Rattus norvegicus: one gene and its partners. The protein of the gene in region 1 interacts with the protein of each later gene in a pairwise test. Links are inferred from orthologs where the notes say so. Each region holds a gene or a part of one and is shown in the gene's direction. Other genes may lie near its edges. The genes, in order: Myoz1, Flnc and Trim63.

What was found.
Region 2: the proteins of Myoz1 (region 1) and Flnc interact in a two-hybrid assay, tested with the Homo sapiens proteins (2 studies listed by BioGRID and IntAct). The link is inferred for Rattus norvegicus from reciprocal best matches to the Homo sapiens genes MYOZ1 and FLNC.
Region 3: the proteins of Myoz1 (region 1) and Trim63 interact in a two-hybrid assay, tested with the Homo sapiens proteins (2 studies listed by BioGRID and IntAct). The link is inferred for Rattus norvegicus from reciprocal best matches to the Homo sapiens genes MYOZ1 and TRIM63.

What each region holds. Positions count from the first base shown.
Region 1 is NC_086033.1:3,694,096-3,703,960, forward strand, and holds the end of Myoz1 (myozenin-1), read left to right. Parts: intron 1-633; exon of another isoform or gene 634-654; 5' UTR 655-672; coding exon 673-745; intron 746-2,310; coding exon 2,311-2,489; intron 2,490-4,688; coding exon 4,689-4,929; intron 4,930-5,313; coding exon 5,314-5,479; intron 5,480-6,235; coding exon 6,236-6,467; 3' UTR 6,468-6,736; downstream 6,737-9,865. UniProt on the Homo sapiens protein: Myozenins may serve as intracellular binding proteins involved in linking Z-disk proteins such as alpha-actinin, gamma-filamin, TCAP/telethonin, LDB3/ZASP and localizing calcineurin signaling to the sarcomere.
Region 2 is NC_086022.1:59,016,896-59,027,901, forward strand, and holds the end of Flnc (filamin-C), read left to right. Parts: intron 1-62; coding exon 63-219; intron 220-299; coding exon 300-489; intron 490-660; coding exon 661-684; intron 685-795; coding exon 796-1,043; intron 1,044-1,569; coding exon 1,570-1,668; intron 1,669-1,970; coding exon 1,971-2,070; intron 2,071-2,385; coding exon 2,386-2,526; intron 2,527-2,796; coding exon 2,797-2,925; intron 2,926-3,013; coding exon 3,014-3,187; intron 3,188-3,777; coding exon 3,778-3,939; intron 3,940-4,016; coding exon 4,017-4,220; intron 4,221-4,670; coding exon 4,671-4,823; intron 4,824-4,915; coding exon 4,916-5,038; intron 5,039-5,172; coding exon 5,173-5,415; intron 5,416-5,619; coding exon 5,620-5,889; intron 5,890-5,983; coding exon 5,984-6,121; intron 6,122-6,313; coding exon 6,314-6,429; intron 6,430-7,557; coding exon 7,558-7,690; intron 7,691-7,789; coding exon 7,790-7,966; intron 7,967-8,130; coding exon 8,131-8,349; and 6 more.
Region 3 is NC_086023.1:151,815,924-151,826,929, forward strand, and holds the start of Trim63 (E3 ubiquitin-protein ligase TRIM63), read left to right. Parts: upstream 1-1,312; 5' UTR 1,313-1,402; coding exon 1,403-1,561; intron 1,562-2,567; coding exon 2,568-2,740; intron 2,741-6,245; coding exon 6,246-6,414; intron 6,415-7,303; coding exon 7,304-7,399; intron 7,400-8,669; coding exon 8,670-8,903; intron 8,904-10,666; coding exon 10,667-10,689; intron 10,690-10,994; coding exon 10,995-11,006. UniProt on the Homo sapiens protein: E3 ubiquitin ligase. Mediates the ubiquitination and subsequent proteasomal degradation of CKM, GMEB1 and HIBADH.

The sequences.
Region 1 (9,865 bases):
CCCAGCTCAAACGCCCTCAGCTTGCTCTCAGGCCCAGCTCTGCAGCTTGGGGTAGGAGTTGCCTGAAGAAGCAAGGAACACACCCATGACCTCTCGGGCCATGTTCCAGTTGGCTTCCTGGAAGAACAGCTTCTCCTTCCTATGGAGAAGGGTTTGGCTGAGTCTCCTCAATACTAGCAGAACATTTCTCTACCCCCTTAGACCTTGATGGAAGCCTGAGCAGGAGACCAGAGTCTGGAGCCATAGTTGTAGCCTGCTATCCCAACACAAACAAGGACTTTAAATCATGCCAGGCCCAAGAAGCCTGAGTGCATTGCTTTGCCAGTGTTGTATTTGAACCCCCTTCGGCCATAGCTGTGTTTCCGATGCCCATACAGGAGTTATGGAAAGCGAACATAGCCGGTCGGTAAGACGTAAGGAAAGGGGTGCAGTTCCGCCTCCTGTCCTGCTTCCAAAGAAAACAGAAGTCTTGGCCGTTTACCTTCTGGGGATACAGATCACTGTGAAAACACATGCACGCATGCAAACATGAACACATGGGAAAAACTCTGAAGAAAATTTGTCCTCGACCCCAAGTTAAGTAGTTCACTGTAGTGAACATGCTTGTTTTCCCCTTTCCTGTCTTTTTTCAAGCCTGCTTCCTGCTCCTTCCAGGTCAAATCCCCCTCCACCATGCCGCTCTCGGGAACCCCGGCCCCTAACAAGAGGAGGAAGTCAAGCAAACTGATTATGGAGCTCACTGGAGGTAGGGCGTGCTTGAGCGCCCAAATGTAGGATTTTTAAGAGCATCCCTGAATCAAGAGCTGCAGAAATGATGTAAGACCGGTTATAAGTCAGAGTGAAAAAGACAAGAAGAATGGCAGCTGTGGAGGGTGTGGGAGATGGGGTGATGGGAGAGGTAAGAAGAGCAAGGAGGAAGAGACAGGAAGAACCAGAATTCCCTCTGTGGCCTCCAGGCCTTCCCACTGATTACTCGGAGACAACACCGGGCTGAGATTCAGGACAGGACCCATGGTCAGTGAACCTGTGGGAGGCACAGGCTAGGCCTCACTGAATGGTTAACTCCTCTTTCCTTTCTAAGTTCGAGGGAACTTATGTAAGCATTTAAAATAGGAAACTGCACAGCCCTACTCCCTGGGGATGCACACGAGTTACCAAGTGTGAAGTTCTCCTGATACCTCAGGAGTCAGAGTTCACTGAATAAAGAGAGAAAGGAGAGGACAAGGATCTGCGTTTAGAGATGGGCTTTCCCTGGCCGGTGTAATTCCTCCAATGGCCACTGTCTGTGGTGTTCTCTTCACTTGTTCTCCTTCACTCCAAGCCCATGCCCCTTGGCCGTGTTCTTTCTCCACTCGAGTATTCAAACACTATATATGGTTCCCTTTGTCCCCTTGAGTTCTCACTCTAAACCATGAAATCAAAACTTCTTATGAAATTAAAACAAAAGCACTTCTCATGGGCTGTGTAGGGTGGTGCATGCCTAGCACTCAGGAGATGGGGGCGGGGCGGGGGCGAGGGCGAGGAAATCTTTGTGAGTTCTAGGCCAGTCCGTGTTGGGGTAGACCAAATCAACATGGTTCCACATGGAGAGGTTTAATGAGAGAAGAGTAGAAGAGGGGAGAAGTAAAGGCCGGCCATGAGCACCAGGAGGGAAGAGGGGAGGGGAATGGGGAGAGAAGGAACAAAGGGGAAGAGGAAAAGAGAGCAGAGAAGAGAAGAGCAAAGAGAAGGAGGAGGGGGGCAAGCAGCCCCTTATATAGTGTCAAACACAGCTGGCTGTTGCCAGGCAACTGTGGGGGTGGAGCTTAGACAGAATACCAATAGTCAGTGCTACAAAGTGAGACCTTGTCTCAAACACACATACACACACACACACGCACGCACGCACGCACGCACGCACGCACGCACGCACGCACACGATGGTGAGATTACTCCGTGGTTAACATCACTTGCTGCTCTTGCAGACGACCCAGATTCAGTTCCTAGCACCCACACGGTGGCTCACAACCATCTGTAACTCTAGGTCCAGGGGATCTGAGTGCTCCTCTCACTTCTGTGAGTACCAGACATGCACATGGTGCACATACATACATGCAAAGAAAACACTCATACATATTAAACATAACTAGATCTCTGAAAAATCTTTTAAAAGACACACAAGACAAACAAAAACTTGTAAGCCAGACAGCCCTGTGCCCGAATTAATCTCTTTTAGAATACACTTAGCTGTGGGTGGGTGGCGCTTCCCTTCCCAGTCCAGAAAGCCTTCATTTCTTCTTTCTGTCTCCTCTTCTCTACCTCCTGGATAAGGCGGTCGGGAGAGTTCGGGCCTGAACCTGGGCAAGAAGATCAGTGTCCCGAGGGATGTGATGTTGGAGGAGTTGTCGCTCCTTACCAACCGAGGCTCCAAGATGTTCAAGCTGCGGCAGATGCGGGTGGAGAAATTTATCTATGAAAACCACCCCGATGTTTTCTCTGACAGCTCAATGGTGAGTATGGACATCAACCACTCTCTCAAAGCCCAGTGTCTTTCCTGGCAGCTTCTCGGTTGCCCCCAATTTCCCCAGATACCACCAACCTTGTCTCCAGGAGAAATGAGAAACTCATTAAGATCCTCCATATATTCAGTTCCCAATGACTCGAGGGTGAGTTAGAATTAATTCCTGAAGCTTAGTCCCCATCCTAGAGCCAGTGCAGGCATGAGGACCACACCCATAGGGAGAAAATTCCTTCCCAGTGTGGCTACGTGTTAAAATAAGGTTGCCAGATAAAACATGGGACACCCAGTCCTGTATTTTGACACTAAGATACACAATTAGTAACTTTGTATTAAAAATGTGTTCTTTGTATTACTGGGGACATAAAATAATTAAAACCTACAGAATCTTGGGGCTGACTGTATCGCTGAGTGGCAGATGCATGGGACCCTAGGTTTCATTTCCCCCCAAAATCAAACAGTAAGCAAGCAAAGGTCCAAAGGGGGTACCCAGTTAAATTTGACCTCCAGATATATACAATGAGCTGTGTAGCTTGAGGAGGCTTGTGAGTTTGAGAAAAGTTTTTTAAATGAATGGTTGTTAAATATATTGCCTGTAACATGTAACCTTTTGGATTTAAAAACAATATAAGATTTGAATAATAAAAATTAGGGTTTTGTTGTTGTTTTTAGAATAGTACCATGTAAATCTGGCTAGCCTAGAACTATGTAGACCAGGCTGGTCTCAAACTCACAGAGCTCTGCCTGCCTCGGTCTCCTGATTTCCAGGGTTAATGGTGTGCTATATTTTAAATTTAAATACACATTTTTCTTTTGGTTTTGGTTTTTGGTTTTTGGAGACAGGATTTCTCTGTGTAGACCTGGCTGTCCTGGAACTCCCTTTGTAGACCAGGCTGGCTTTGAACTCACAGAGATTCACCTGCCCCTTCCTTCTGAGTGCTGGGATTAAAGGTGTGTGCCATCAACTACAAATAATTTCCTTTTTTTTTTCTTTTCTTATTAAAGTTTTATTTTTTTGGCTTTTTTTTTATTGGCTATTTTCTTTACTTACATTTCAAATGTTATTCCCTTTCCCGATTTCCCCTCTGGAGTCCCCCTATCCCTTCTCCCTTCCCCTACCTCCATGAGAGTGTCCCCCACCTACCCATCCACTCCTTCTCATTTCCCTGCCCTGGCTTTCCCCTACACGGGACATTACAAATAATTTCTCAATGTAAACACATCCCACTAAATATTTAAGGCATATTTTACACTAAAAATGTTATATACCTGAACATTAAACTTGGGTGATTATAATTTTACTTGGTACATCTTCGGATGTTAGAAGAGTTTACGGAAGTTTTATAACTATCTCCATTTTGAAAGATGACAGGAAACTAAAATCTTCCTTCTTTAAGGTCATCTCCTCCAAGACAAGAAGAGTAAGGGGGTTGGAGAGAGGCCAGGCACAGGATGTTACCACAGAGGAGCGCGGGACTGGCTCCATTTCCTCTCTTCCTCCTCCACCTTCTCTGGGTGGCTGGGGGGACAGTGGAAATGGATGCAGACGTGGACGCGGCCCAGCAGGAGTGTCTGTCATGAGCCCTTCTGCAGGATCAGAGTAAAAGTGCTGAGTGGGTCACAGCTAACTTTAGGAGGCCAAAAGCCCTCCTCTGTGCTGGGTCTGGTTACACTGGGTAGAGGGTGTGGGACACAGGGTAAGGTGGCCAGGAGGGCCTCCTCAAGGAGTTGGTGGAGTTATTTTTAGGCTTTGGAGCCCAAACCAGTATTGCCCTTTTGGCTCTCCTCCCCCGCTTCACCTGCTACAGTTTCACTGTAAGAAAGTTCTGGCCTGATGGGCCATCAAGAGGAGGAGAGGAGCAGGCAAAGGAGGCCTCCCTGCAGGGCGAACTGAACTGTGGCAGTTTCTTGTTGAGCAGGTATCTTGGTTTGCTTTGCCTTGCCAAGATAGGATAGGGAGTGGAGAATGAGCTGCCTTACTCTGAGGTGTAATCAGGGAATTGCACCTCTCCCAGAAAGCAGTTCCCTCGGGCTGACACTCTTCTCTATGCGTTCATTAGCGAGGATTTCTCAGAGCCTTGGGGTCTTGTGGCTGCCCCTTAGCTCTGTTGCCTGCTCCTGTACATGTGCCTCTGTCTGCGTTTTCCACACCCATTGCTAATCTTCCTCTTGTTTTGTACTTTCTTTTCAGGATCACTTCCAGAAGTTTCTTCCCACAGTGGGAGGACAGCTGGAGTCAGCTGGTCAGGGCTTCTCCTATGGCAAGGGCAGCAGCGGAGGCCAGGCTGGGGCCAGTGGCTCTGCTGGACAGTATGGCTCTGACCGCCATCAGCAGGGCTCTGGGTTTGGAGCTGGGGGTGCAGGTGGTCCTGGGGGCCAGGCTGGCGGAGGAGCAGCTCCCGGCACAGTAGGGGTTGGAGAGCCAGGATCAGGCAAGTATTCTCACCAACCAGAAGTACTGTATCTGATGCCCAGGGCAGACATGTCCCCAGGAATGAGGCCTAGTTGAGATGTGGAAAGAGGGAGACTGAGGTGTCTTGGACCCAGAAGGTATCCAGGATACAGCAATGTGTTTGCTCCACCCACAGCCTTATCGTTTAGTTTCTTTTCTTTTCTTTTTTTCTGGTTTCTCAGATTCAGTCACAAATCTCACCCCAGACTCCATTATGTTACAAACCATATATAATTCCCAGGATATTGTACCTCTGACCCTCGACTCAGCCGCTCCCCTAGTGGTAGGGTATGGGACTAGCTTTCATTAGCCACTGATAGTGGCTGCTATCATCTGATGTATGTTTCCCTTCCATGGCTACCAGGTGACCAGGCAGGTGGAGATGGGAAACACGTCACTGTGTTCAAGACATATATTTCCCCGTGGGATCGGGCCATGGGGGTCGACCCTCAGCAAAAAGTGGAACTTGGCATTGACCTGCTGGCATATGGCGCCAAAGCTGAACTCCCCAAGTATAAGTCCTTTAACAGGTAGGATAGCGGGGGAGGAAGCTGACGTGTCCCGTTGTGTGACACCTTGCTCTACCTGGTTTAAGTTCAGATGTTTCAGAGGGGGCTAAGGTGTAAGGACAGGAATAGGGGACCCTCATGGAGGATCCCCTGCCTCTCATAGCGGTGGAGTGAAGGGAAGATCTCTATGTTAGTTTGGCACTCATTTTTTTCGGCTTGGGTTTTTCGAAGGTAAAATGGGGATCCCACACTTTGTGGTTGGAGGTGTGTCCTGGCTCCCTCCCATGCAAGGTGACAATGTCTTTACTCTCCCTACAGGATGATTCTTTCTTTATCCCATGCTCCATGTTTCTATTGTTTAGAAATGGGCATTGAGGCCATGGCTAGGACGTCTGTGTGAGGCAGGTCGAGGAAGGTCTACAGAAGTGTTTCCAGCCACTCTCCATTTGAGATGGGGGTAGAGTTGCAGTTGTAGGTTACAATATACATTGCAATTTAAGATGGTCTCATACTGTTGGCTCTATAGTGGCCAAAATGCTGGTGTTTGTCCCAACTGTCCATGAGATCATGTAGTCTACTAGACTCATCTCATTGTTAACTTCAGATAGACAGCAAGCCAGGTAAGTGGGTGTTAAGGGAGGACGAGGACTGGAAGCAAGGAAGCAATGTCTAACTATGATTTATGGACTCTCCTCCCTTAAAGCAGGGTGATAGCTCATTGACAAGTGCTTTCTCTTTTATTCTGATTCTTAACTATATGACATGTTCCCCTTTCAGGACGGCAATGCCCTATGGTGGATATGAGAAGGCCTCCAAACGAATGACCTTCCAGATGCCCAAGTTTGACCTGGGGCCTCTGCTGAGTGAACCCTTGGTCCTCTACAACCAGAACCTCTCCAACAGGCCTTCTTTCAATCGAACCCCTATTCCCTGGTTGAGCTCTGGGGAGCATGTAGACTACAGCGTGGATATCGGCATACCCTTGGATGGAGAGACAGAGGAGCTGTGAAGTGTCTCCTCCTGTCGTATGCATCATTTCCCCTTTCTGGTTCCAATTTGAGAGGGGACGCTGGACAGGATGCCCCAACTGTTACTCCAGTATCCTTGTGGCAATGGAGGGTAGAGGGTGGGAGCCTTTCCACCCTTCAAGTTCCCACTCCAGAGCACCCCTCCTGACCAGCTAAGAGCTCCCATCCTGCTGTTCCATATGGAATCTGCTCTTTTATGGAATTTTCTCTGCCACTGGTAACAGTCAATAAACTCTAAGGAAATGAACTCACTCTTCCTCTGGTATTTGAAGGCAGATGAGAACTGAGGCTGATGATGCACAAAGGTTAACTAAAGCAAAAGACTGACACTTCACTCAGACTTTAGGACCATATATGGGCTTTGGTTCTTACACATCCACACCTGCATTGACACCCACAAAAACACACTCATCAGGTATAAACAAAGAGTATCATTTGATATTACATGAGATAAAATCTTGTGTGTAAGCCCACATGCTGGCCCCTGTATGTATAAAGCTAAGAAGCTAATGCACACTGATTAGGAAGTAAGTGTTGGTAACTGCAGGTAACACTTAGTACCAGAGTTATCTTTGTGTAGCCAATTAAAAGCTGGGAAACACCGAGAAAGGAAAAATGAGTTTTAAGAAAGTGAAGGTTCCTTTGATTTTTCACAGTTACTGGTGGGGCTAACGATACATCTCAGTGGTTTAAGTTTTTACTGATCTTCAAAAGGACCAGTCTGGATGTCATTTGTAATCCCAGTCCCAGGGGATATGTTACTATGCTTCCTAGGGCATCAGGGACGGCATGTAGTGCACACACATGCATGCAGACAAAACACTCATATACATACGATAAAAATAAGTAACTCTAAAGTTACCAGAAACCAGAGTAAGCTTGGGAATATAAAAACCTATATGGGGCTGGAGAGATGGCTCAGAAGTTAAAGCAAACACTTGTTCTTGTAGAAGACTGGAGTTTAGCTAGTTCTGAGCACCCACATGTGGTTCACAACCACCTGTACTTCCACAGACACCCAGCACCAGTGTGGTGCATATACACACATGTAGGCAGAACCATCATAGACGCAAAAGGAGACCAGACAGCATTGAGAAAGAAGCAGGAGAAACCAGCTATAGTAACGGTGTGCTTGGTTCTATGAGCACAGCAAGAACTGATCTAAAGGTTCCAAAGGATTAGTGATGTTCAAAAAGAGCTTGAAGAAACCTGACAGCAGCACAACAGGAACGAGTGACAATACTCTTGTACTGATTTCCAACTTAGGAACCTGGAATTCATTATGTAGATCAGGCTGGCCTTGAACTCATAGAGATATGCCTGTCTCCTAAGTGCTGGAATTAAAGTATACTTTTAAAATTGTTTTGACTACTGGGCTGGAGAGATGGCTCAGCGGTTAAGAGCACTGACTGCTCTTCCAGAGGTCATGAGTTCAAATCCCAGCAACCACATGGTGGCTCACAACCATCTGTAATGGGATCTGATGCCCTCTTCTGGTGTATCTGAAGACAGCTACAGTGTACTCATATATAATAAATTGTTTTGACTACTAAACTCTTTTTCTTTTCAGAGACCAGCCTTGGCTACTTGAGATCCCAAAAGGGAGAGGAAGAGGGGGAGAGGGGAGGTGAAGAAGAAGAAGGGAAGAGGGGGAGGGGAAGGGGGTAGCTTTTGGAGAATTCTTATGTTCTTTAAATGTCTAAGCAAAACTCTGTATGTGCATTTTCCTAAGACGGTTTGCATAGTTTAGATGCCTCTTCAAAGTACCTGAAATAAGGTTTAGATGCAAACAGTGCATTTGGAAATGAAATCCCAGCAGCATAAGGGGAGAAAGCCAGGAACGGGTACTTTAGGTAATGGGGGCTGAGTCCCACTGGAAATCTCAGACAGTCATGCTACTCCAAGAATGGCCCGTGTCATTCAGCAGCTGTGTCTGAGGAGCTCAAAAGTGGGTATGGTGGCTTGCATTTGGCCCCAAGATGGGCATTTGGGAAGAGCAGGAGGATCATGGGAAATATGAGGCCAGCCTAGGCACAGAGTAAATTCTAGGCCAGCCAGGGAGGGCTACACAGCAAGCTTCTGTCTCAAACAATAACAACAAAAACCAAGGAGACAAAAACTGGAATGCAAATGGATATGGCGGCTAGGGCTTATAACCACATCGGAGGCAGATGGGCATCTTGAGTTCAAGACCTGCATGAACTACAAAGGGAATTTCAGGATTGGAGCTTGGGAGGCTGAAAAAAAAAGGGGGGGGGGAGAAGGGAGGGGAATGCAGATTCAGGCCTGAGTACTTGTTTTATTACTTTCTTTAGGTAATCCTACATGTTGGAAAATCCTGAGAAATTTTACCTCAGGCTGGGCAATGGTGGTGTATCCCTTTAACCCCAGAACTCGGATGCAGAGTCAGGATGATCTCTGTGAGTTCGAGGCCAGCCTGGCCTACAGAGTGAGTTCCAGGACAGCCATGGCTACACAGAGAAACCCTGTCAAAAACAAAAACAAACACAAAAACAAACACAAACAAACGAACACTGCTCCCCCACCCCCAAAGCCAACCCAAAACCTAAAGGGCAGCAGCAACAACAGCAGCAATAACACAACAAAAACCAGACAGAAACCAACCAGACAAACCACATACCTCAGACCCGGCCCTCAGGAGTACAAAGGGGGAGTATTCAGCCACCAAATCTTGTTCTCACTGTTTGCACAGAGAAACCCTGTCTTGAAATCCAAAAAGAAATTTTTTTTTCTGAAAATTTTTATTTACAATTTCTGGAGTGCAATCTCTTTATAGAGGAGCACCAACGTTAACACCGGCAAACAGATGTAATTTAAAAGATTGATGGCTGGAGCAATGGCTTAGTGGTTATGAGCACTGACTGTTCTTCCAGAGGCCATGAGTTCAAATCCCAGCAACTACACGGTGGCTCACAACCATCTGTGAAGGGATTGGATGCCCTCTTCTGGTGTGCCCAAAGACGGCTACAGTGTACTTACCTATCATAAATAAACACATCTTTAAAAAAAAAAGGTTTCTTTTATGTGTGTGTCTCTGTGTTTGTATGTGCACCATGTTCATGCAGTGCCTGAGGTCAGGGAGGGGTCAGATCCCCCTGAACTGGACTTACACACTGTCATTAGATGGGACCTGAACTCAGATCCTCTGCAAGGATGACAAGGGTTTTTACTGCTCAGCCGTTTCTCTATCCCCAACACAACTCTAAAGTTCTGAATTACATGCTGTCGTAGCAGCATGATGGAAATCGTGCTGACCCGTACTGTTTCCTTTATGTAGCACAGCCAGGCTGTAAAACTCTCCTCTCAGAAGACACCATCCTGGGTATCGTACTTGAAATAGACTGGTGCTGTGTTCTTA
Region 2 (11,006 bases), on another chromosome or scaffold:
GAAGGCTCACATATCTCAAGCTCCAACTCCCTGACAACTGTCCGCTCCTTCTGTTTCTCAAGCCCTTTCAAGATCAAAGTGCTTCCGGCCCACGATGCCAGCAAAGTGCGGGCCAGTGGCCCTGGCCTCAATGCCTCCGGCATCCCCGCCAGCCTGCCCGTGGAGTTCACCATTGATGCTCGTGATGCTGGTGAGGGGCTTCTCACAGTCCAGATCCTGGTAAGTCTAGGCACAGCCCCCTGCCCAGCATATATGCCCTCTGTGGACATAGGTAGGCCTGACCTCTCCTTCTCCTCTAGGATCCCGAGGGTAAACCCAAGAAGGCCAACATCCGAGACAATGGGGATGGCACATACACCGTGTCCTACCTGCCAGACATGAGTGGTCGGTACACCATCACCATCAAGTATGGCGGCGATGAGATCCCTTACTCACCCTTCCGTATCCACGCCCTGCCTACAGGGGATGCCAGCAAGTGCCTTGTTACAGGTGAGTACCAACTCTGAGTCCCTTCTCGTCAGCCCCTTAGAGTGCATTCAGTCTCCCAGCCCAGTCCTGGGGCCATGCTGGCAAAAAGTCTATACTCTTTGCCCAGCCCAGCTCCCACCACCTCTAGGTCATCTTGAACCTTAATGACCTAACTTTCTTCTCTATTTCCAGTATCCATTGGAGGCCATGGACTGGGTGAGTAACTTTTTCTTTCTTTACTAAGGGCTGGAGGCTGTGGGAGCAGCCGGGAAAGGGGGAGCTGGACATGGCCTCCACAGCCCCTGATCTGGCTTTTTCATGTGGTAGGTGCCTGCCTGGGTCCCAGAATCCAGATTGGAGAGGAGACTGTGATTACAGTGGATGCCAAGGCAGCAGGCAAGGGGAAGGTGACCTGCACAGTATCCACACCTGACGGGGCAGAGCTCGATGTGGATGTAGTTGAGAACCACGATGGTACCTTTGATATCTACTACACAGCACCTGAGCCGGGCAAATATGTCATCACCATCCGCTTTGGGGGTGAACACATTCCCAACAGCCCCTTCCATGTGCTGGTAAGCTCATGGCCATGGTGCATGTTATGCAGAATATGCCTCTTAGTAGCTGCAAGGGATCCTAGGAGCTGTCCTCAAGGAATCAGAGAATATACCTCTTAGTCGCTGCAAGGGATCCTAGGAGCTGTCCTCAAGGACTCAGAATATGCCTCTCAGTAGCTGCAAGGGATCCTAGGAGCTGTCCTCAAGGAGTCAGAGAACTTGTCCCCATGTCTGATAAACAGATCCTGGAGCCAGAGTACTCTAGAATGAGCCTTTGTATTTCCTGTAGCCTTCCAATGTGCAGGGAGGTGGTGCAGCTCTGCTTTTGACCAGAGAGGTATCATCCCTCTCTGAAGGAGCTCACTGTGTTCTTTTCTGACCTTTGGGCCACTGTCCTTAGCTCTTGTTTCTACAGGGGTGGCCCTGCAGGACAAGGATAGAACACCTGAGATACCCACCCAGGACTTGAGTCCTAGGCCATTCTGAGAGTTGGTTCTGAGATCTAGGTCCCCCCACATTGTACACCCTGTGCCTTATTCCCCAGGCATGTGACCCGCTGCCTCATGTGGAGGAGCCTGCGGAAGTGCTGCAGCTGCACCAGCCATATGCCCCACTTCGGCCTGGCACCTGCCCCACACACTGGGTACTAGAGCTTCCCACGACAGGCCTCGTCATCCTTCTCCCTACTTTCTTCATTCTTCCTTCTGTTCTGCAGGCTTGGGCCATGGTTGGGCCTCTTGGGGAATGCAGGCATTAGGATGGGCAGAGGGAGCCCAAATCTGAGTATGGCACCCCTTCTCCTGCAGCTGACGCATCTTCTGCCATTGGTGTCTCACTATTAACCTTGTTCTTTCTTCGTTCTCTCTGACTTCAGTCTTGAGGCAGGCCACACTCCCCGGCGTTCTCCACCGACTACAGCCTTCTCTTTCCTCTCACCTGCTACAGGCCACAGAGGAGCCCGTGGTTCCTGTGGAGCCTTTGGAGTCCATGCTGAGGCCTTTCAACTTGGTCATCCCATTCACTGTGCAGAAAGGGGAGCTGACAGGTAATGGGTGCACCACACGTGAGACTCTGTTGAGAACTGAGAACGCTTCCTGGCCTTTCAGCTAAGATCATTGCAGGGATGAGACCTAGGGCCCAGAGAGGGGAAACAAATTAGGTTGCGTCTCACAAGTTGGGCAGAATGAGAACTCAAGTTCAAGCCTTCTGTCTCCTAGTCCTTCTATTCCTGAATGGGCTGCTTCCCAGTGTCTGGCCTCTGGGGAAAGCAGAGCCACTTGAGAACAGGCCCTGGGACATCAGGGACATGTGTTGGGAGAAACTAGTGTCCTACCTACATGTAAGTATGTCTGCCTTTCAGGGGAGGTCCGGATGCCCTCTGGTAAAACAGCACGTCCCAACATCACTGACAACAAGGACGGTACCATCACAGTGAGATACGCACCTACAGAGAAAGGCCTGCACCAGATGGGAATCAAGTACGATGGCAACCATATCCCTGGTGAGTTGGGAGCAGGGTGAGACCACGGTAAGAGGAGCCAACACCATGTTGGTCCTGCCAGCCTCCTTTAAATACATATGTAAGCACTGCCATGTACAGGCACCAAAGAAGGTTCTGGGAAATGTGTTTCTTGATGGTAATGGGCTTCTAAGTCCATGTAGCAGAGGCACGGGGCTCCAAAATCCAAAGCTGTTGAAGATGCTGGGGGCCAACATGGCTGTGGGAAGCCCCTGTCCCTATGCTAATCCAGCTCCACCTGTCACTACCCAGGGAGCCCTCTGCAGTTCTATGTGGATGCCATCAACAGCGGGCATGTCAGTGCCTATGGGCCAGGTCTGAGCCATGGCATGGTCAACAAGCCTGCCACCTTCACAATTGTCACCAAAGACGCTGGGGAAGGTGAGGAGAACTGCCGAAAGAGGTGAGGGGACTTGCCAGGTTTGTAGGCACAGGGATAGATTCTGATCTCAGCCACTTTCGCTTACAGGGGGGCTGTCACTGGCTGTGGAGGGCCCATCCAAGGCGGAGATCACCTGCAAGGACAACAAAGATGGCACCTGTACCGTGTCCTACCTACCCACAGCACCTGGAGACTACAGCATCATTGTGCGCTTTGACGACAAGCATATCCCAGGGAGCCCCTTCACGGCCAAGATCACAGGTGAGACGGACATTCAGGCATGGGCACCCTGCCCCACACACACTCAAGTCAGCTCACCCAGGACATTTGGACAGAGGCTGCTGAGGGGAGGAGAACATCTGGAGTAAATGTAAGGATGCTGTTCTCCACAACAGGCAAGGAACATCCCACCAGTCCATGCTTTGAAAAACGTGATCATCTATGTCAGCTCAAGGCCAGCCTAGTCTACACAGAGAGCTCTAGGTCAGCCAAGCCTACATAGAAAGACCATGTCTCCAAATACCAAAAACAACAAACAAACAACAAAAAAGAAAAAATATTTTATTATTTCAGTTTTCAAGTTACTCTTGAAATATTGACACTGTTTTGAGAAAACCCAGAGACAAATTAGCACTGTGATCAGAGCCATAGAGAGAGCATCTGGTCCATGTGACTCAGGACCAAATACATAAAGGTTCAAGGACAGACTTAGCCTCCCCAGGACTGAGACAGGCACAGTGCACAGGGATGCTGGGTCCCTCTGAGGCTGTTAGTAGTTAAGGTGAATGCAGACCAGGGATGCTAGAGTCTGTCTGGAGCCGACATCCTGATCTGTCCCAACTGTATCCCAGGTGACGACTCAATGAGAACGTCCCAGCTTAATGTGGGCACCTCCACCGATGTGTCACTGAAGATCACAGAGGGTGACCTCAGCCAGCTGACAGCCAGTATCCGTGCTCCTTCAGGCAATGAGGAGCCTTGCCTGCTGAAGCGCTTGCCCAACAGGCACATTGGTGAGTGCAGTGCCTCCTGGGTGTACCTGGGTCAGGGAGGCCTCGGGGATGTTCTGCTTACTGTCCCCTCTCCACAGGGATCTCCTTTACCCCCAAGGAGGTCGGTGAGCATGTGGTGAGCGTACGCAAGAGTGGCAAGCACGTCACCAACAGCCCCTTTAAGATTTTGGTTGGGCCTTCGGAGATCGGCGATGCCAGCAAAGTTCGAGTCTGGGGCAAGGGCCTTTCCGAGGGACAGACCTTCCAAGTGGCAGAGTTCATTGTGGACACTCGCAATGCAGGTACTTCTTGACACAGAACCCCCCATATCATTAGCACTCCACAAATTCTTGTCCCTTTCCTGCCCATAACCTCCCCCTCTGGCCACACCCTCCTGCCCTGAGCTTCTTGGATCTGTTGGGATTCAGTCTAGAGCCCACTGGGGGGAAGCGAATGTCCCCCGTCAGTCAGCTCTGTCACAGCTGAGAGAAAGCTCAGCTGTCCTGAGCTTGTTAGTCTCCACTCACTAGAATCCAAGAGGTCCAAGGTATGGAATTTTCCCGAAGGCCTCTTTAGTAAGCCTTGATGACAAACACTGGATCACCTCTCCACATCTCATGGTGCCATTTTCCTTAGCGGTCCCTACACTCATTTGACGTCTGTCCTAGGCAGAGCCTTCTGCACGGGACAGGAGAGCAGTGTGGGTGCAGGTATCATGGGCTCAGGGGAGACATCTTTCTCACATCCCTTAGGCTACGGAGGCCTGGGGCTGAGCATCGAAGGTCCTAGCAAGGTGGACATTAACTGTGAGGATATGGAAGACGGTACCTGCAAAGTCACCTACTGTCCAACTGAACCTGGCACCTACATCATCAACATTAAGTTTGCTGACAAACACGTGCCTGGTGAGGCTCTGGGCGGGGACTCAGTAGGGGACAAATCCGGTGACCAGGCAGGTGACCTGTGAACCTGAGTCTTTTTTCTCTCTCACTCACAGGAAGTCCCTTCACCGTGAAGGTGACTGGCGAGGGACGCATGAAGGAGAGCATCACCCGGCGCAGACAGGCGCCTTCCATCGCCACCATTGGTAGCACCTGTGACCTCAACCTCAAGATCCCAGGTAGATGCTGCAAAGGCAGAGAGGAGCCAGGGTGGAGCAGGGGTGGCCATGGGATGCCCTTGCCGCCTTGAGCCTACCCTGGGGCCTCTGTCCTGCTGCCTCCCTCCTCACTCCCACCACGGGGCTTTCTATAGGAAACTGGTTTCAGATGGTGTCCGCCCAGGAGCGCCTGACTCGCACCTTCACGCGTAGCAGTCACACGTACACCCGCACGGAGCGGACAGAGATCAGCAAGACTCGGGGTGGGGAGACCAAGCGTGAAGTCCGGGTGGAGGAGTCCACCCAGGTCGGCGGAGACCCTTTCCCTGCTGTTTTCGGCGATTTTCTCGGCCGGGAACGCCTGGGCTCCTTTGGAAGCATCACCCGACAGCAGGAAGGTAAGCAGAGAGCACTGGGAATCCGGGCCCTCATAGGGAGGCTGGGGCCTCCTGTTCTGTGAGATAGAATGGCCTCATCCCTGGCCACCTTGGCCTAGATGGCCAGGACAGGTCTGAGCAGAGAATGGGGTTCACCGAGGAGGGAGGAGACCACGGAGAACAGATACAGCCTCTTGTTGGCCTGACATCACTCCAACCCCTCAGGTGAGGCCAGCTCTCAGGACATGACAGCCCAGGTGACCAGTCCATCTGGCAAGACAGAAGCCGCAGAGATCGTTGAGGGAGAAGACAGCGCATACAGTGTGCGCTTTGTGCCCCAGGAGATGGGCCCCCACACAGTCGCTGTCAAGTACCGGGGCCAACATGTGCCTGGAAGCCCTTTTCAGTTCACCGTGGGTCCGCTAGGTGAAGGTGGTGCCCACAAGGTGCGGGCTGGAGGCACAGGGCTGGAGCGAGGTGTAGCTGGTGTGCCAGGTAAGGGGCTGAAGCCAGGGGGAGCTGGGGGCCAGGGCAGCCAATGTGAGGGGCAACAGCACTAAGACGCCACCCCTACCCTATTGCCGTCCAGCTGAGTTTAGCATCTGGACCCGAGAAGCTGGAGCTGGGGGCCTGTCCATTGCTGTGGAAGGTCCCAGCAAGGCAGAGATCGCATTCGAAGACCGCAAAGATGGTTCTTGTGGTGTCTCCTATGTTGTCCAGGAGCCAGGTAAATGCTTACACTTGAGTGGGGAGAGGGTTTCTACTTGCTGACCAATGGGCTTTGGGACTCCCCCCCACCAGTTACTACTCCCTTTGCACCCCAAGTTCCTTCACCCACTCAGAGCTGAGCCCTGAGGCTGGGCTGGGGGTTCCTTCCGCCCTTATCATGGAAAGGGTGCTGACTAGCTTCCTTCCCCAGGTGACTATGAGGTCTCCATCAAGTTCAATGATGAGCACATCCCAGACAGCCCCTTTGTGGTGCCTGTGGCCTCCCTCTCAGATGATGCTCGCCGCCTCACCGTCACCAGCCTCCAGGTCTGTGCCACGGTTGGGAACTTGGCCTGGGAGATAGGCAGGGGTCTAGGAGGGCAGGCCCACATGGCCAGTGACAGCTTGGTGGATGAGTTGGCTGCAGTCCCTTCTCCCACTACATGCAGTGTGGGTCAGGGCCCTTTCGGGGAGCATGTCCACATCTCAGTGAATCCCAGTGAATAAGCACATGAAATCAACACCAAATAAACGTCAGCGAGTTTGCAGAGGACGCCAGAGCAAGCACATGTAGACTGGGCTATACCCCTCCTACCGCTGCACTGGGCTGTACTTCTTCCTGGTGTGACATCTAGAAAGGTCCCCTCTCCTTCTGCCATGTGGGGATGTACACCATGCAGGCTTTCAGCAGGCCACGCTGGCAACTGGAAACACTGTCAAAGAGCATGAGGAGAGGACAGAGAACGCTACCCCCACATTCATTGTTTTAGATTTATTTATTATATATGAGTACACTGTCACTGTCTTCAGACACACCAGAAGAGGGCATCGGATCCCATTACAGATGGTTGTGAACCATCGTGTGGTTGCTGGGATTTGAACTCAGGACCTCTGGAAGAGCAGTCAGTGCCCTTAACCACTGAGCCATCTCTCCAGCCCCTCGCCCCATTCTTTTAGCTGACCCTCAGTGCAGTCCTATCAGCCAACAGCGAGCCCTCCACTCTAGCCCAGGCTTCCATCCTCATACCCCCGAGCCCTTCTGGTGCTCTCTCCAGTGCTCCCCCTTGGTCACTCCCTTCTTGGGGCAATCTACACTCAGCCTGCCACATCCAAGCTCGTCTGGGCCTGCAGCCCACACAGCGCTGTCAAGCTCTACTAGGCCTGCACTCCTCGGTGTCTGGCCTCTGCTTCCTCAGCTGAGGCAGGGGTACACCACTCCTCACCCACTGTGGTACCCAGCATGGCTAGGAGGGTGCCTACAGGCGGATGCAGAGAATGGCAGAGCAGCCGTTGCCATCTCGGCCCTTCCCTGCAATCTGGGCTGGCAGGCAGCGACCGGGCTGGAGAGGTGGGAGCATTGGACTGGCTCTACAGTAAGAGCAGCATTGAGCTGCAGAGAGGACTGGTCTAGCCTCAGCTTCCCAGGACTCTGACTGTGCTCTGTGGTCTTTGCAGGAGACAGGGCTTAAGGTGAACCAGCCAGCATCTTTCGCGGTGCAGCTTAATGGGGCACGTGGCGTGATCGATGCCCGGGTACACACACCCTCAGGAGCTGTGGAGGAGTGCTATGTCTCTGAACTGGACAGTGGTAAGCTGGCCCTGTCTCTGCCATCTCCTGTCAGACCTGGATCTCTGGCAAAGGGGTGAAGAAACATGGAGGCTCACTCACCAACCTTCTGCTTCACAGATAAGCATACCATCCGCTTCATCCCCCATGAGAACGGTGTCCACTCAATTGATGTCAAGTTCAACGGTGCCCACATCCCTGGAAGCCCCTTCAAGATCCGCGTTGGGGAGCAGAGCCAAGCTGGGGACCCAGGCTTGGTGTCAGCTTATGGGCCTGGGCTTGAAGGAGGCACTACGGGTGAGCATCTGAACCGAGGGGAGCAGGGTTGGATTTGGGGGGATCAGGCACGCCTTGGTAGGTTGGGAACTTGTTGGTACTAACCTGGTGTTTCCCAAGGAACCCAGGGCCCTACCCTGGGCTGCGTTCTTCCTTATCTTCAGCTCGCTCCCTCTGTCCTCCAGGTGTATCGTCAGAGTTCATTGTTAACACCCAGAATGCAGGCTCGGGGGCCTTGTCTGTCACCATCGATGGGCCTTCCAAGGTGCAGCTGGACTGTCGGGAGTGTCCTGAGGGCCATGTAGTCACTTACACGCCCATGGCTCCTGGCAACTACCTCATTGCCATCAAGTATGGCGGCCCTCAGCACATTGTGGGCAGTCCCTTCAAAGCAAAGGTCACAGGTGAGTGCCCTGGCTGAAGAAGGTCCACATAGTCCAGCGCAGCATGGCTGGCTCCGGTGGCCATTCCCATTTGATTGTAGTCTGCTTTCAGTTATGGTCCTAGTTACTACTAGAGGCAGAGGTGGGCGTGGCCGGCTGCCATGATGGATGTGGGCGTGGCTGACTGCCATGATGGACATGGGCGTGGTTGGCTGCCATGATGGAGGTGGGCGTGGCTAGGCCGTGGCCCATTCTGTAAAGATTCTATGAATCTTTAAAAATACATTGCCAAGCGCTTGCCTTTTATCTCAGCACTGGAGAGCAAAGGCAGGTGGATCTGTGAGTTTGAGACCAGCCTGCCCCACAGAGTGAGTTCCAGGACAGCCTGGACTACACAGAGAAACCCTGTCTTGAAAACCAAAAAAGAAAAGAAAATCTTTTTTTTTCCAGTACTGGGGTTTGAACCCAGAGCCTTATTCATGCTAGGGAGGTGCTCTACCACTGAGCTATATCCCCATTTTCTTCCGTTTTAAAGTCATACTCTCACCCTGTCAGTTAACTTGACTTCCAAGAGGAAGCCTGGAAGGGTGAGAGGCAGAACCAGAAGTGGCTATGACCCAGGGGTAAGCAGGGATTGGAGCTGGTCAGATGCTGCCTGTAGGGGACAGGTAGTGTTCTTCAAAAACTGCAGCTGAGGACAGCAGGGAGCCTAGCACACACAATGTTGCCCAGTGCCCATCTCAGAGGACTGTCAGTGTCCTAGAAAAGAGCAGGAAGTCCTCTGACTAGGCCCATGGCCACCTACTCTACCCTTCAGGTCCCCGGTTGTCTGGAGGCCACAGCCTTCACGAAACATCCACAGTTCTGGTGGAGACTGTGACAAAGTCCTCCTCGAGCCGCGGCGCCAGCTACAGTTCCATCCCCAAGTTCTCCTCAGATGCCAGCAAGGTGGTGACAAGGGGCCCCGGCCTGTCCCAGGCCTTTGTGGGTCAGAAGAACTCCTTCACCGTGGACTGCAGCAAAGCAGGCATGTTCCATCCCAGAGGCTCGTCTGGGGGGAGGGGGGAAGAAGCAGGAAGGTGTCCAGGGCCAGGGGTGTGGGCTGCTTGTGGCCCTGGTGTGAGTCACTCCTCTCTGCCTCCCTCTCCAGGTACCAACATGATGATGGTGGGTGTGCACGGGCCCAAGACCCCCTGCGAAGAGGTATATGTGAAGCACATGGGGAACCGGGTCTACAATGTCACCTACACTGTCAAGGAGAAAGGAGACTACATCCTCATTGTCAAGTGGGGTGATGAAAGTGTCCCTGGAAGCCCCTTCAAGGTCAATGTGCCCTGAATCTCAGAAGCGCCTCCCTCAGCCCAGGCCCCCACTTCCTGCCAAAGTCATACCCACACAGATGTGCCACCCCCCTATCCACACTCACAGAATCAGACACTAAAACACCTGCCTTAGGTGTGACGGGGTGATACAATCCCCCGTACCCCACTGTGCCACTTGGTGGGTGGGGGGCCGGGCCTTTATCTGTTTTGTTTCAGTGTCCCTCAAAGGTGTCCTGAGGGAAGACTTGGTGAAGCTGGGGGCCGAGACTGTGATATAAGGGGTTAAACGGGTTGGGGGGAAGCCCTGGGGATCATAGTGGGGCTGATGCCAGTGGGCAAGCACTGAGTTGGGGTATCTGTGTGTGAAAGAAGTCATCCTCACAAACCACCATGCCTGAGGACTCTGTCAGGCCGTCTGGTGGCCATAGCCCTAGAGTAAGGGGCTTGGAAAAGAAAGAACAATCAGAAGAAAGCAGTTCCAGAACAAACAGCACACCGCATGCGGACTGGCCCTGAGTGACATGCTCCACCCAAGCCAGGCCTCCTGGGAAACTGATTTCTCTTACTATTTTTTTTTTATGGTTACACAGCTCTGCCCCATTGGGGGTCTTTTTTACACATTGTGGGGCCCAACTCTCTGGGAAACTTTTGCACATGTGGAAAACACCAAATAAAGCATAGCTGTTGCGAAGGCTGACTGTTCTTTATGTGATATATATATATATATATATATATATATATATATATATATATATATATATGTAAGGAGAGGGAGAGTGCATGGTGTGTGTGTTTGTCCATTGTTACCTCCTGATCCAGAGTACAGGGCCACACGGGTGAGATGACGTGATCCTTGGCTGAGGGCAAGGGCCTAGGGGAGACAGGAGTTCTGAAACATTGGCTAAAAGTGGACCTAGTGAAGTAGTAGTCTTCCATGAGCTAGAAGCTTGGTAGATGACCAATGGGAGCAGACACCCTTAAGGGTGGCCAGAAAGCCACTTACATTTAGCCCAACCTGAAGGATATTCTTCAAATTAGGTTCTTGGAACTGTGACTACAAGGCCGCATGCACACCTTTAATCCCAGCATTCAGGAGTTTGATGCCAACCTTGTCTACATAGTGAGTTCCAGGACAGCCAGAGCTATGTAGAGAGACCCCTTTTCAACACACACACACACACACACACACACACACACACACACACACACACACACACACACACACTATGACCTCTGACTTAGGCAGTAATGTTCTTTACCAGAAACCAAATGAGAATCCTGAACCTCACTCCAAACCCTCTCTCAGACCTGGGCCAACTACCCCCTCATTTCAAGTCTTGACCAAGGTCTCCTGGA
Region 3 (11,006 bases), on another chromosome or scaffold:
GCTCTGTCTTTTTACTTTTAAAAACGCATTTTTAAACAAGGAGATGGTGACACACACCTTCAATCCTAGTACTTGGGGGTGGGGGGGCAGATGTTTACAAAGCACGTTCCATGATAGCCAGGACCACACGAGCAACTCTGTCTCTTAAAACCTAAAAACCAAACCAAAACAAAAAACCCCATATTTTAATACCTGTTCTTTTGGGGTTTGTGGTGAGGGGTCGTGGTGGTGACTGGGGGTGTGTAGTGACATTATTTTGTTATTTTGTGATAGGGTCTCATATAGTCCAGGCTTGCTTTGAACTCCTGCCTCTGCCTTCTAAGTACTGGGGTTATTGGCATTTACCCATCATGCCCTGCTTTACCTTTTATTCCAAGACATGATATCACTATGTAGCTCATGGCCTTAAACTTTGGATCCTCCTGCCTCAGCCTCCTGAGGAGCTGGGAATATAGGCTGCAGATCACCCGCTCTTAGAACTCTGTTCACTCCTGTCTCCAGAGAACCCCATATTCCAATGCCCCGGAAGTTCTTCCTGGGACCCAAGAATGAACACATATGTAAAGAGTCCAGTGGAGCCTCCTGTATCCACAGGTGTCAGGGCAGGTTCTGAGGCAGCACAGGAAGTTCCTGTTTGTCTCTGGGCTGTGAGCATGGCAGTTCAGGGAAAACACAGGAACCTGGGAAGGCAAGTTGTCAGCCTTGGCGGCAAGCACCTTTACCCACTGAGCCATCGAGCTGGCCCTCATGAAACCCTTGTCAGCATGTAGTGTGATGATTGGCTGAGGGCTGTCAGGGTGGGCTGCCCAACATGGGAGTCTCAAAAGACTCTAGTGAAATGCTTGACTGGAGTCTGGGGCAGGAGAAAGCCCTTTCACAGAAGGGCTATCCCAAGGCCTTAGAGCTGTTCAGAATCCAGAAGGGGAACAGACTTAGGTTGGTACAGGGGCGCTGGCTGTTAATCTTGTGTATGCCAACCCCACCCCCCACCCAAGTTCCACTCCCTTACTCCCAATTCACTGGAGGGGCAGGAGGGTGGAGACCAACTTCTTCATGAAACTAGGGTACCTGGCCCTCCCCTGAACCTGGCTCTGAACAATCTGTTCTTGTTTACGACCCCCATTGCAGGGCAACAGCGATTGCTCACCCCTGCATGTGATCTGAGAGGGCCAAATCTTTGAGGCCTGGAGGAAACTCAAGCCCTGCCAGCCGCTTGGCTTCGGAATGCTCAGCTGGTCCCCTCCTGGGGCTCATGTGACTGAAGGGCAGCTATAAATATCAGAAGGGCCTCAGACCAAGACAGAAGCCGGGTGTTCGGGGAGGAAGACAAAGAGGATCCGAGTGGGATCCCTTCCACTCGGTGTGACGCAGGTGGAAGAGACAGTCGCAGTTTCGAAGCAATATGGATTATAAATCTGGCTTGATTCCGGACGGAAATGCTATGGAGAACCTGGAGAAGCAGCTCATCTGCCCCATCTGCCTTGAGATGTTTACCAAGCCTGTGGTCATCCTGCCCTGCCAGCACAACCTCTGCCGGAAGTGTGCCAACGACATCTTCCAGGTCAGCGCTAGGCAGGGCCGGGACCTGGAATCCCCCCCCACCCCGCGCCCCCCCCCAGACCTCCCGCGGCTTCTCAGAGGCCCTTCCCCTCTCAGCCTAGAACACTTGCTCCATTAAGAAGCCATTCAGAGACCCCTGGGAAGGACTAGGGCTGGAGGTAGAGAAGGGGCTAAGGGGAAAGGGGGAGCTACTCCAGTCCTTCCGCAGTGTACTCATCTAGTCCCCACCCTGGCCACAGCTCTCTCCTCTGCTGGGAGAGCTTGCTGTTGATTCCCCAGTCAAGAGTCAAATACCTCAAGTGATAAGAGGAGGAGGTGGGTAGAGAGGAGAGAGAAACCAGGCCCTGGGGCCGGAGCCAGCTCCAGGTGGCAGGGGGCCCAGACTTTGGGAGGCGGGTGGCAAGAGGAACGTAACCTCAGCAGCATCTCAGAGGCTGCGTCCTCCAACAGCGGGCGAAGGGGCCCCATCTTCTGAGGAGGGAAAGGGCACAGTTGAGGCAACGCACTGGGGAGAGCGTCCAGAAGGACGACAGGAAATGCTCTTCCAAACTCAGGTCTAGTTGCCTATTCCAATAATCTCACGTTCAGGAACCTGAGGCAGGAGGATTGCTAAGAGTTTAGGGTCAGTCTGTGCTACCTGATTAGTTTGAGATAACAAGATCCTGCCTTAAAAACAAAACAAAACAAAAAAATTTCCCTACAGTTATCTTTAAGGTAATATCCTAGGAGCTGGCTCTAATTCTAAGAAAGACCTGTGGTCTCCGTGGTAAACTGAGGCATAGCGAGATTATAGTTGCGCGTCTGAAGTCACACGACTTGAACTCATGTTGGCTGGTACTGAACCTCTTGCCTGTTTGAGTGCTTCAACCACGATGCTTCAGCACATGGTTGGGCTGGGCCAAGGCCAGGAGCCGGTGGGTGCCCTTTGGTTTGGCAAGTGTGTTTGGGGCAACTGGGGCAAGGAGAACTGAGACCGGAGAGGATGGGAACGCCCGCCTTTTCTGCAGGCTGCCAATCCCTACTGGACCAACCGCGGTGGCTCGGTGTCCATGTCTGGAGGTCGTTTCCGCTGCCCCTCGTGCCGCCATGAAGTGATCATGGACCGGCATGGGGTGTACGGTCTGCAGAGGAACCTGCTGGTGGAGAACATCATCGACATCTACAAGCAGGAATGCTCCAGGTCAGTGTGCAGCTGAAATGCCCCGCCTCCTGACCACGCCTCCTGACCGCGCCTCTCCCCAGACCCCTCCCACCTCAGCGAGCCACATTCATCAGCAGGCAGAGCCAACAACCTCTTCCTCAGACCAAACCTCAGCTCTTGAGTTTTGCGTATACGGGGAGCTAGAAAAAGAGTCCTGAGACTAGGGTGCAGGGGCGTGTGTGTGTGTGTGTGTGTGTGTGTGTGTGTTTGCGCTCATGGTAGAGATTGGACCTCATTAGGCTAGGGCTCTTCCACTGAACTACATCCCCAGAGCTTGCAGTTTTAAGATGGAGCCTTGACATATAGTGAAGGTTGGTATCAACTTGAGATCCTATTGTTTTTCAATCTCAGCTTTAAAATTTTATTTCTTTTATTTTGCTTACAAAGAAGGGTGTGTGTGTGTGTGTGTGTGTGTGTGTGTGTGTGTGTCTGTGAATACCAGAAGAGGGTACTGGCTCCCTGTATTAGTCAGGGTTCACTATAGAAAAATAACATATATTAATATATATGATCGATTGGAATGGCTTACAGGCTGTGTGTGGTCCAGCTAGTCCATAATGGCTATCTACCAACAGAAGGTCCAAAAATCCAGTGGCTGTGCAATCCACAAGGTTGGATGTCTCAGCTGGTCTTCATTATGTGCCAGAGTCCCCCAGAGAGTAGGCTCTAACGCCAGTGAAGGAACAGACTTGCTATTGAGAGCGAGAGCAGCAGGCCAATAGACAGCCCCCTTCCTCCATGTCCTCTCTATGGGCTGCCAGGACAAGGTGTGGCCCAGATTAGAAGTGGATCTAGATTAAAAGTGGGGCTTCCCACTTCAAATGATTTAATTAAGGAAAAACTCCCTGGCTAAGCAGTGGTGGTGTACACCTTTAATCCCAGCACTCAGGAGACAGAGGCAGATGGATCTCAGTGAATTTGAAGCCAGCCTGGTCTACAGAGCGAGTTCTAGGACAGCCAGGGCTACAAAGAGAAGAAACCCTGCCTCAACAAACAAACAAACCAACAAGCAAACCCAGCCACTTGGATTTTAGTTCATTACAGATGAATCAAGTGGACAAGATTCAGCTCTCCCAATCGCCCTGAAACCAGAACTGGGGTTACAGACAGCTACGAGCTGCCATGTGGGTGCTGGGAACCAAACCCAGGTCCTTTGCAGGAATAGTAAGTTCTCAACTGCTTTCCCCAGCCTTCACAGTGACTACCATATACCTCTTTGTTACATCGTGTCTCTTGTTGCTAGAACACAGCACTCCAAATGGACGTTGTTGAGCCCCAGGCACGGTGGCGTAGGCCCTGTGGTCCCAGCTACTAGGGAGTCTGAGGCAGGAGGATCTCAGTTTCAAGGTTCATCCAGGCTACATTGCAAATGCAGGGCTTGCCTGGACAACTCGGAAAGATGCTGATTCGTAGTCAAACCGTACTAATGAGAATGAGGGGCTGGGATGTAGATTGGTGATAGAACTCCTATCTGACACAAGGCTCTGTCCGGTCCCCAGTGTCTTCTGCATACCATGTGTGGAGGTCAGGGAGCAACTTTGTGGAATCAGTTCTCTCCTGCCTTTACATGAATTCCAGGGATTGAACTCAGGTCGTTAGCCTTGTGCTGCAAGCACCCCTCCCCCCTGAGCAATCTTGTCAGCCACAGATGCCTATTTTGGATTGTGGTGGTGGTGGTGGTGATGATGGTGGTGGTGGTGGTGGTGATGATGATGATGATGATGATAATGACGACGACGATGACGACGACGTAATTTATAGTATACTTACGTCAGCCTAATGCTGTCGAGTTTTGAAAATTATGCTGTGCCTTGGAGGTTTTTCCCTAATAAGGAAAGACAATAGCTGCCCTTAAGCAGGGTCTGCTCAGAGCTCCGCAGGCTACATCCCGGCATGGTTGGCACAGCTCTGAGAGACACTGAGGTGTGAAGGACTGAGATCACAGAAAACAAGTGAGTGTTTGACCCTGAGGCCTGGCCACAGAGAGGGAGGTGTTCTCAGGCAGCCTGCAGGCCCTCTCCACCCGGCTACACATCCTGTACCACATTCCCAGGGCATCACAACAGGTGGCAGTGGCACTAGGGAAATCCTCACCACTGTGGCCACAGTATGGGGCTCCTGGGCTCAAAGATTGAAAATAAAAACAAAAAGATCAAAACTGAGTGTTTGGAAAGTGACTCCCTGGAGGGGGCCCGGTAAGCCTGGATGTGACTAGTCATGCAGAGCTGTGGGGAGGTATGACAGGGACACCGATGGGGGGGATAGTCACTGTTGAAGATGGATTGGTGTAAGGGGCTGGGGGAGTGTAGAAATGGCAGCTTATCCAACTGAATGTAAGGTCTATCTAGCCTCAACTCTAAAACCCCAGCCTAGGCTGGGAAATCACTTATGTGGGAGAGGAGCATGCCAGGTGCCCTAGTTGAAGAAGCCATAAAGGGAGGAGACAGAAAGCAGAAGCTGTGTGGGGCTGGCTAGATGGTTCAGTGAGTACAGGTGCTTGCAGCCAAGCCTGATACCAGAGTTCTCTCCCCTGGACAAACATGGTAAAAGGAGAGAACCAACTCCTTCAAGCTGTTTTCTGACCTCCATGAATGTGGTATGGCACACATTGCCTCCCCCTCCAAATACACATATACTAAATAAATGGCATTTTTTTTTCCTTTTCTTTTTTTTCGGGGCTGGGGACCGAACCCAGGGCCTTGCGCTTGCTAGGCAAGTGCTCTACCACTGAGCTAAATCCCCAACCCCATAAATGCCATTTTTAATATTAAAAAAGAAGAGATTCGGGGCCTTGGAGAGCCTTTGTATAGCGGAGGTTTGCTCTGGGCTTCTATGTAGCCTTGCCTTTGCCCTCCGACCAAGTGCGCATGTATGGCTTAGGGTGCAGAGACTGCCCCCTTCTAGGACACCCTCAGGATGTGTTTACTGATGTATTTCATTTCCACGGTCTCCACACAAGGTACTGTATGTTATAGACTCAGGCAAGGAAAACAAGTAGGCTTCCTGCCTAGCTTGAGGGTACAGTCTCATGGGTTAAATATAGATGTGAAAGCTGACATCAGAATAAATTGCCCAGGCCCCAGCAACCAAATCTGTGGGGGCTAAAATTAGAGCAGGAGAGTTCTGGTCTCTTCTGTCTGTGCTGCTGGGCCACCTTGGGCAAGTCCATTTATTTCCCAAGACTGTTGTGTCTCCCATATGGTTAGCACCTTCTGGTCTACCTGGGATTCTGGGGCCCTCCCCATACCCTCTGCACCAACTCAGGCCAGGTCCAATGCTGGGGGCCTGAGTTTTAGGGCTAGGAACAGGTTTGTTGGATATCATTAGCTTCTTTGACCTTGGGCTCCCAGAAGTTAAAAAGGAGACTGCTTGGGGCAGCTCGATCCACTGGGAGCTCGCATATGGATGGGTAGCTTCCTGTGCTTGAAGCTAGGACAGGACAGGGAGATGGGACACCCTGACCTGTGATTCTTCTCCACCTCAGTCGGCCCCTGCAGAAAGGCAGCCACCCGATGTGCAAGGAACACGAAGACGAGAAAATCAACATCTACTGTCTCACGTGCGAGGTGCCTACTTGCTCCTTGTGCAAGGTGTTCGGGGCTCACCAGGCCTGTGAAGTTGCCCCCTTACAAAGCATCTTCCAAGGACAGAAGGTACTGGCTACAGCTGCTGTGCCCAGAGGATTCTGGGGTGTGGATTTGACCCTTGTGGATGTGCTGAGCCGGCCTTTCAGGAATAGTCTCTCAGGAGGGACTTCCCAGGTCACAGGGACAGCAGCCGATGCCTCCCTGGGGGAGGTGACTGAGCTCATGGGTTATACTTAGAGTCACTTGAGAGCCCCTGGGTGTGGCCATGGGGAAGAGGCCATGGCTTCCCTGTCCTGTCCACTCTGTAGTCCCAGACCTCTCCACCTGAGCCTCATATGAAGCATAAGGCAGATTTGAGGCTCTTCCCTGGGCCCTGGCAACCCAGCATCCTGCCACGGAGTAAGCTGTAGCCCTACTGTCTGCCACACTTCACTCGTCTCTTTCTTCTAGAACTTTCCAATCTATTCCTTCTCTCCGAAAGTAGCAGGCTGGGGATGGTAGCACAGGCCTTTAAGCCTAGCACTCAGGAGGCAGAGGCAGGATCGCTATGAATTTGAGGCCAGCCTGGTCTATATTGAGTTCTGGGCCAGCCAGGGCAGCACAGTAAGGCCCCTGTCTTTAAAAAAAACTGGGGTGGGGGCAAGAAAGAAAGAACGAAAGAAAAGGAAGGAAGGAAGGAAGGGAGGGAAACTTGTTTTCTTTTGTTTCTTTATCAGTGCTTTGCTGTGTGTTTTGGGTTGCTCAGTTTCCCTCTCTGGGCCTCATCTGTCCATAAAGGATACATCTGTGGTAGTCTCTGCTTTAGACCTGAGCTGCACCTCAGAAGGAGGGATAGCAACCCTATTGGTGACTCTGTCAAAGACAGGGGCATGAACACCATGTTGCTATAATTCTGGAGAAGCAGCGGGCCCTGAGTCTATTTCTGTCTCTCCTCTCTCACGCCCCTGCCGTCCAGACTGAACTGAGCAATTGCATCTCCATGCTGGTGGCAGGGAACGACCGAGTTCAGACTATCATCTCGCAGCTGGAGGACTCCTGCCGAGTGACCAAGGTGAGGGTGTAGAGCTGCCCTGTCAGCGGTGAGGAGTTCAAGCCTCCGGTGCAGCCTGTCTCCGGGAAAGCCCTGAGCTATGGTGCAGATTGGGGTTTGGAGTCTTGGGTACCCAACAGAGATGGCAGGAAAGGACACAGTCATTTCTCCATCACCCTTGGCGAACACAGCAGCTGTGTCAGACCCTGTAGAAGGACAAGACAGACCCAGTTGGTCCCTGACTGCAGAGATTCACCAATAACTCCCTGAATTGTTCCAGCATTAATCATTTATCGATAGAGCAAGAGTCCTGACCTGTAAAAGCTCACACCTGACTCAGGACTGTGGAACCTCAGGGGCTCTGGAACAATTCAACATTCTGCACTTCTTCCTTGCTTGAATTTTATTTTCCATGTTTACTGGTGTTTTGCCTGCACATATCTGTGCCTCATGTGTGTGCAGTGCCAGAGGAGGCCAGAAGAGGGAGCCAGATCCCCTGGAAATGGAGTTCCAAGATGGTTGTGAGCCAACACAAAGGTGCTAGGAACTGAATCAGGGTCTTCTGGAAGAGCAGGCAGTGCTCTTAACCACCAAGCCATCTCTCCGGTCTTCTTTCTGTCTTTCTGCCTTTGATTTGATGTTTGTTTGTTTTTCTGGACAGCGTTTCTCTGTGTAACCCTGGTTGTTCTGGAACTCACTCTGTAGTTTGAACTCAGAGCTCCAGGCCAGCCAGGGTTATAGAATTAGACCCTGTCTCGAAAGAAAGAAAGAAAGAAAGAAAGAAAGAAAGAAAGAAAGAAAGAAAGAAAGAAAGAAAGAAAGAAAGAAAGAAAAGAACAGACAGAGGGAGGGACGGAGGGAGGGAGGGAAGAAAAAGAAAAGAACAGAACAGACAGAGGGAGGGACGGAGGGAGGGAGGGAGGGAAGAAAAAGAAAAGAAAGGAAAAAAACCTGGTCCCTTCTTGAGGAGGGTTGGAGCTGGTAAGTTGGGGAAGAGCCATCCATCATCACCACAAGTGGACTGCTCTGTGGAGTGGAGAGGACCATTGTAACCCTGAGAGGTATCTCATGCCGAAAGGCACCACTGCCAAGCCCATTCGACTTTTTAAGACCAGGTCTCACTAGGTTGCACCAATTCAGCCTTCTGTGGGTGCGGGCATTTTCCTCTTCGATAGCTTTGCTCCGTGTGCGATCGAGTCTTGCCTTGCTGCAGAGAGTCCCTGGGGCCCTTTCTGACTCAGAAAGTGGGTTGGCACTTCATGGGATGTGACTGTAGGATTTCTGTCCTCAGGAAAACAGCCACCAGGTGAAGGAGGAACTGAGCCACAAGTTTGACGCCCTCTACGCCATCCTGGACGAGAAGAAGAGTGAGCTGCTGCAGCGGATCACTCAGGAGCAGGAGGAGAAGCTGGACTTCATCGAGGCCCTGATCCTCCAGTACCGAGAGCAGTTGGAAAAGTCGACCAAGCTTGTGGAAACAGCCATCCAGTCCCTGGATGAGCCCGGAGGGGCCACCTTCCTCTTGGTGACTGGAATCTGAAGGGTTTGGGTAGATTTGAACTATTACTCTTTCCTGATCTTCAAATGGGCCTGGGCTGTTTAAATCTTGGTGAAATGTCAGGCATCTCCGGTCACTACAGGCTCCTGACCATAAATAATCCCAGTTCTTGGGCAGCTGAGACAGGAGGACTCCAAGTTCAGGGGAAAGCAGGACAGTTTGGTGGAATAGTATCTCAAAATAAAACATGCCAGGCTAGGCTTGGTGACACACGACTTTGCTATCCCAGTACTTGGAAGACACAGGCAGAGGCAAGAGGATCTCTGTGAGTTTGAGGCTAGCCTGGTCTATAGAGCAAGCTCCAGGCAGCCAAGACTGCATGGTGAGACCTTGTCAATAAATAAACAAAAAAAACAAACATAAGAAATATTGGGAGAGGAGAGATGATTCTACGGCTAAGAACATGTCTTATGTCGAACACTTTTAATCCCAGCACTGGGGAGACAGAGGCAGGCAGATCTCTGTGACTTTGAGGCCAGCCTGGTCTACAGAGTAAATTCCAGGACAACCAGAGCTACATAATATCGAGAACTTGTCTCAAAACAAAACAAAGAAAAATAACACTTTGGTTTTGTTCTTACAAAGGACCTGGGTCCAGTTCCCAGCACCCACATTGTGGCTTACAACTACCCATAGCTCCAGTGCCAGGGTACCCAATGCCCATTTCTCACTTCCAAGGGCACCAGGCACATATGTGGTTCACATACACACACGCAGGCACTCATACATACACTTGAAACAAAAATAGGTCTTTTAAACAATATCAGCAAAACCCAGAGGGGCTGGAGAGATGGCTCAGGGGTCAAGAGTGCTTACTATTCTTTCAAAGAACTTGAGTTAGGTTCCCAGAACTCACGTCTGGCAGCTCACAAATACCCATAATCCCAAGAGCAGTGGAACTTGACACCCTCTTCTGGCCTCCAGGGGCTGCAACATACATACATATACATACATATACATACATACATACATACATACATACATACATACACACATACACACATACATACACACATATATACATATATACACATACATACACATACATACATACACATACATGCATACACATACATACATACATGCATTACATACATATGCACACATACATATACATACATATATACATACACACATACATACATTACATACACATACATACATGTATATACACACATATATACATAGATACACACATACATATATTACATAAGTACATACATGCATACAAAGACAATTTTAATGTGAGTACACTGTAGCTATCTTCAGACACACCAGAAGAGGGCATTAGATCCCATTAGAGATGGTTGTGAGCCACCATGTGGTTGCTGGGATTTGAACTCAGGACCTCTAGAAGAGCAGTCAGTGCTCTTAATCACTGAGCCATCTCTCCAGCCCCCAAGAAAAATTTAAAAACATATTAAAAAAACTACAATACCCAGAATATATGCCTTCAAGCTCTTATGGTCTAGCTTTGTCCAACCCATGGAAGAAAGTTTGGTTGACTCTCGTCCAGGAGACTTCAGACATTTTGAGTGCTTGGTCAGAGAACCCTGGCTTCCTGCCCAGACAGTAGAAACAGACTGGGGTTCATGTTGGCCAAGATCTGTGAGAAAATGTCCGAGTTCTATTTAACAGGGCAGGATTCAAGTTACGCCTGTACCATGGAATGGTACCTCGAGTCTATCCTTTGGAATTTCGATGTTAACCTCTGTTCTTTTTCTCCACAGAGTGCCAAGCCGCTCATCAAGAGGTCAGTGTTCCCAGGACTACAGCCTGTGTCCCTAGTTCCCCTCAGGGCTTCTGACACCTGCCCAATGGATCCCTGTGCATTAGTTCTGCCAGGATCGGGGGGGATCGGGACTCACCCCAGACCATGTGCCCTACTCTGTTAGATCATCCACTCTGCTTGACCCTAAAGAAGAAATGTCCTCTGCCCCTTCATCCCCTCACTTCAGGGATGGATTGTGGGACTGGGACGGACCCACATAGAGCCAAGGCTAAGCTGTCCCTTCCTGTATGCAGCCCGAGACCTCACCCTATCTCTCTCCCCCACAGCATTGTAGAAGC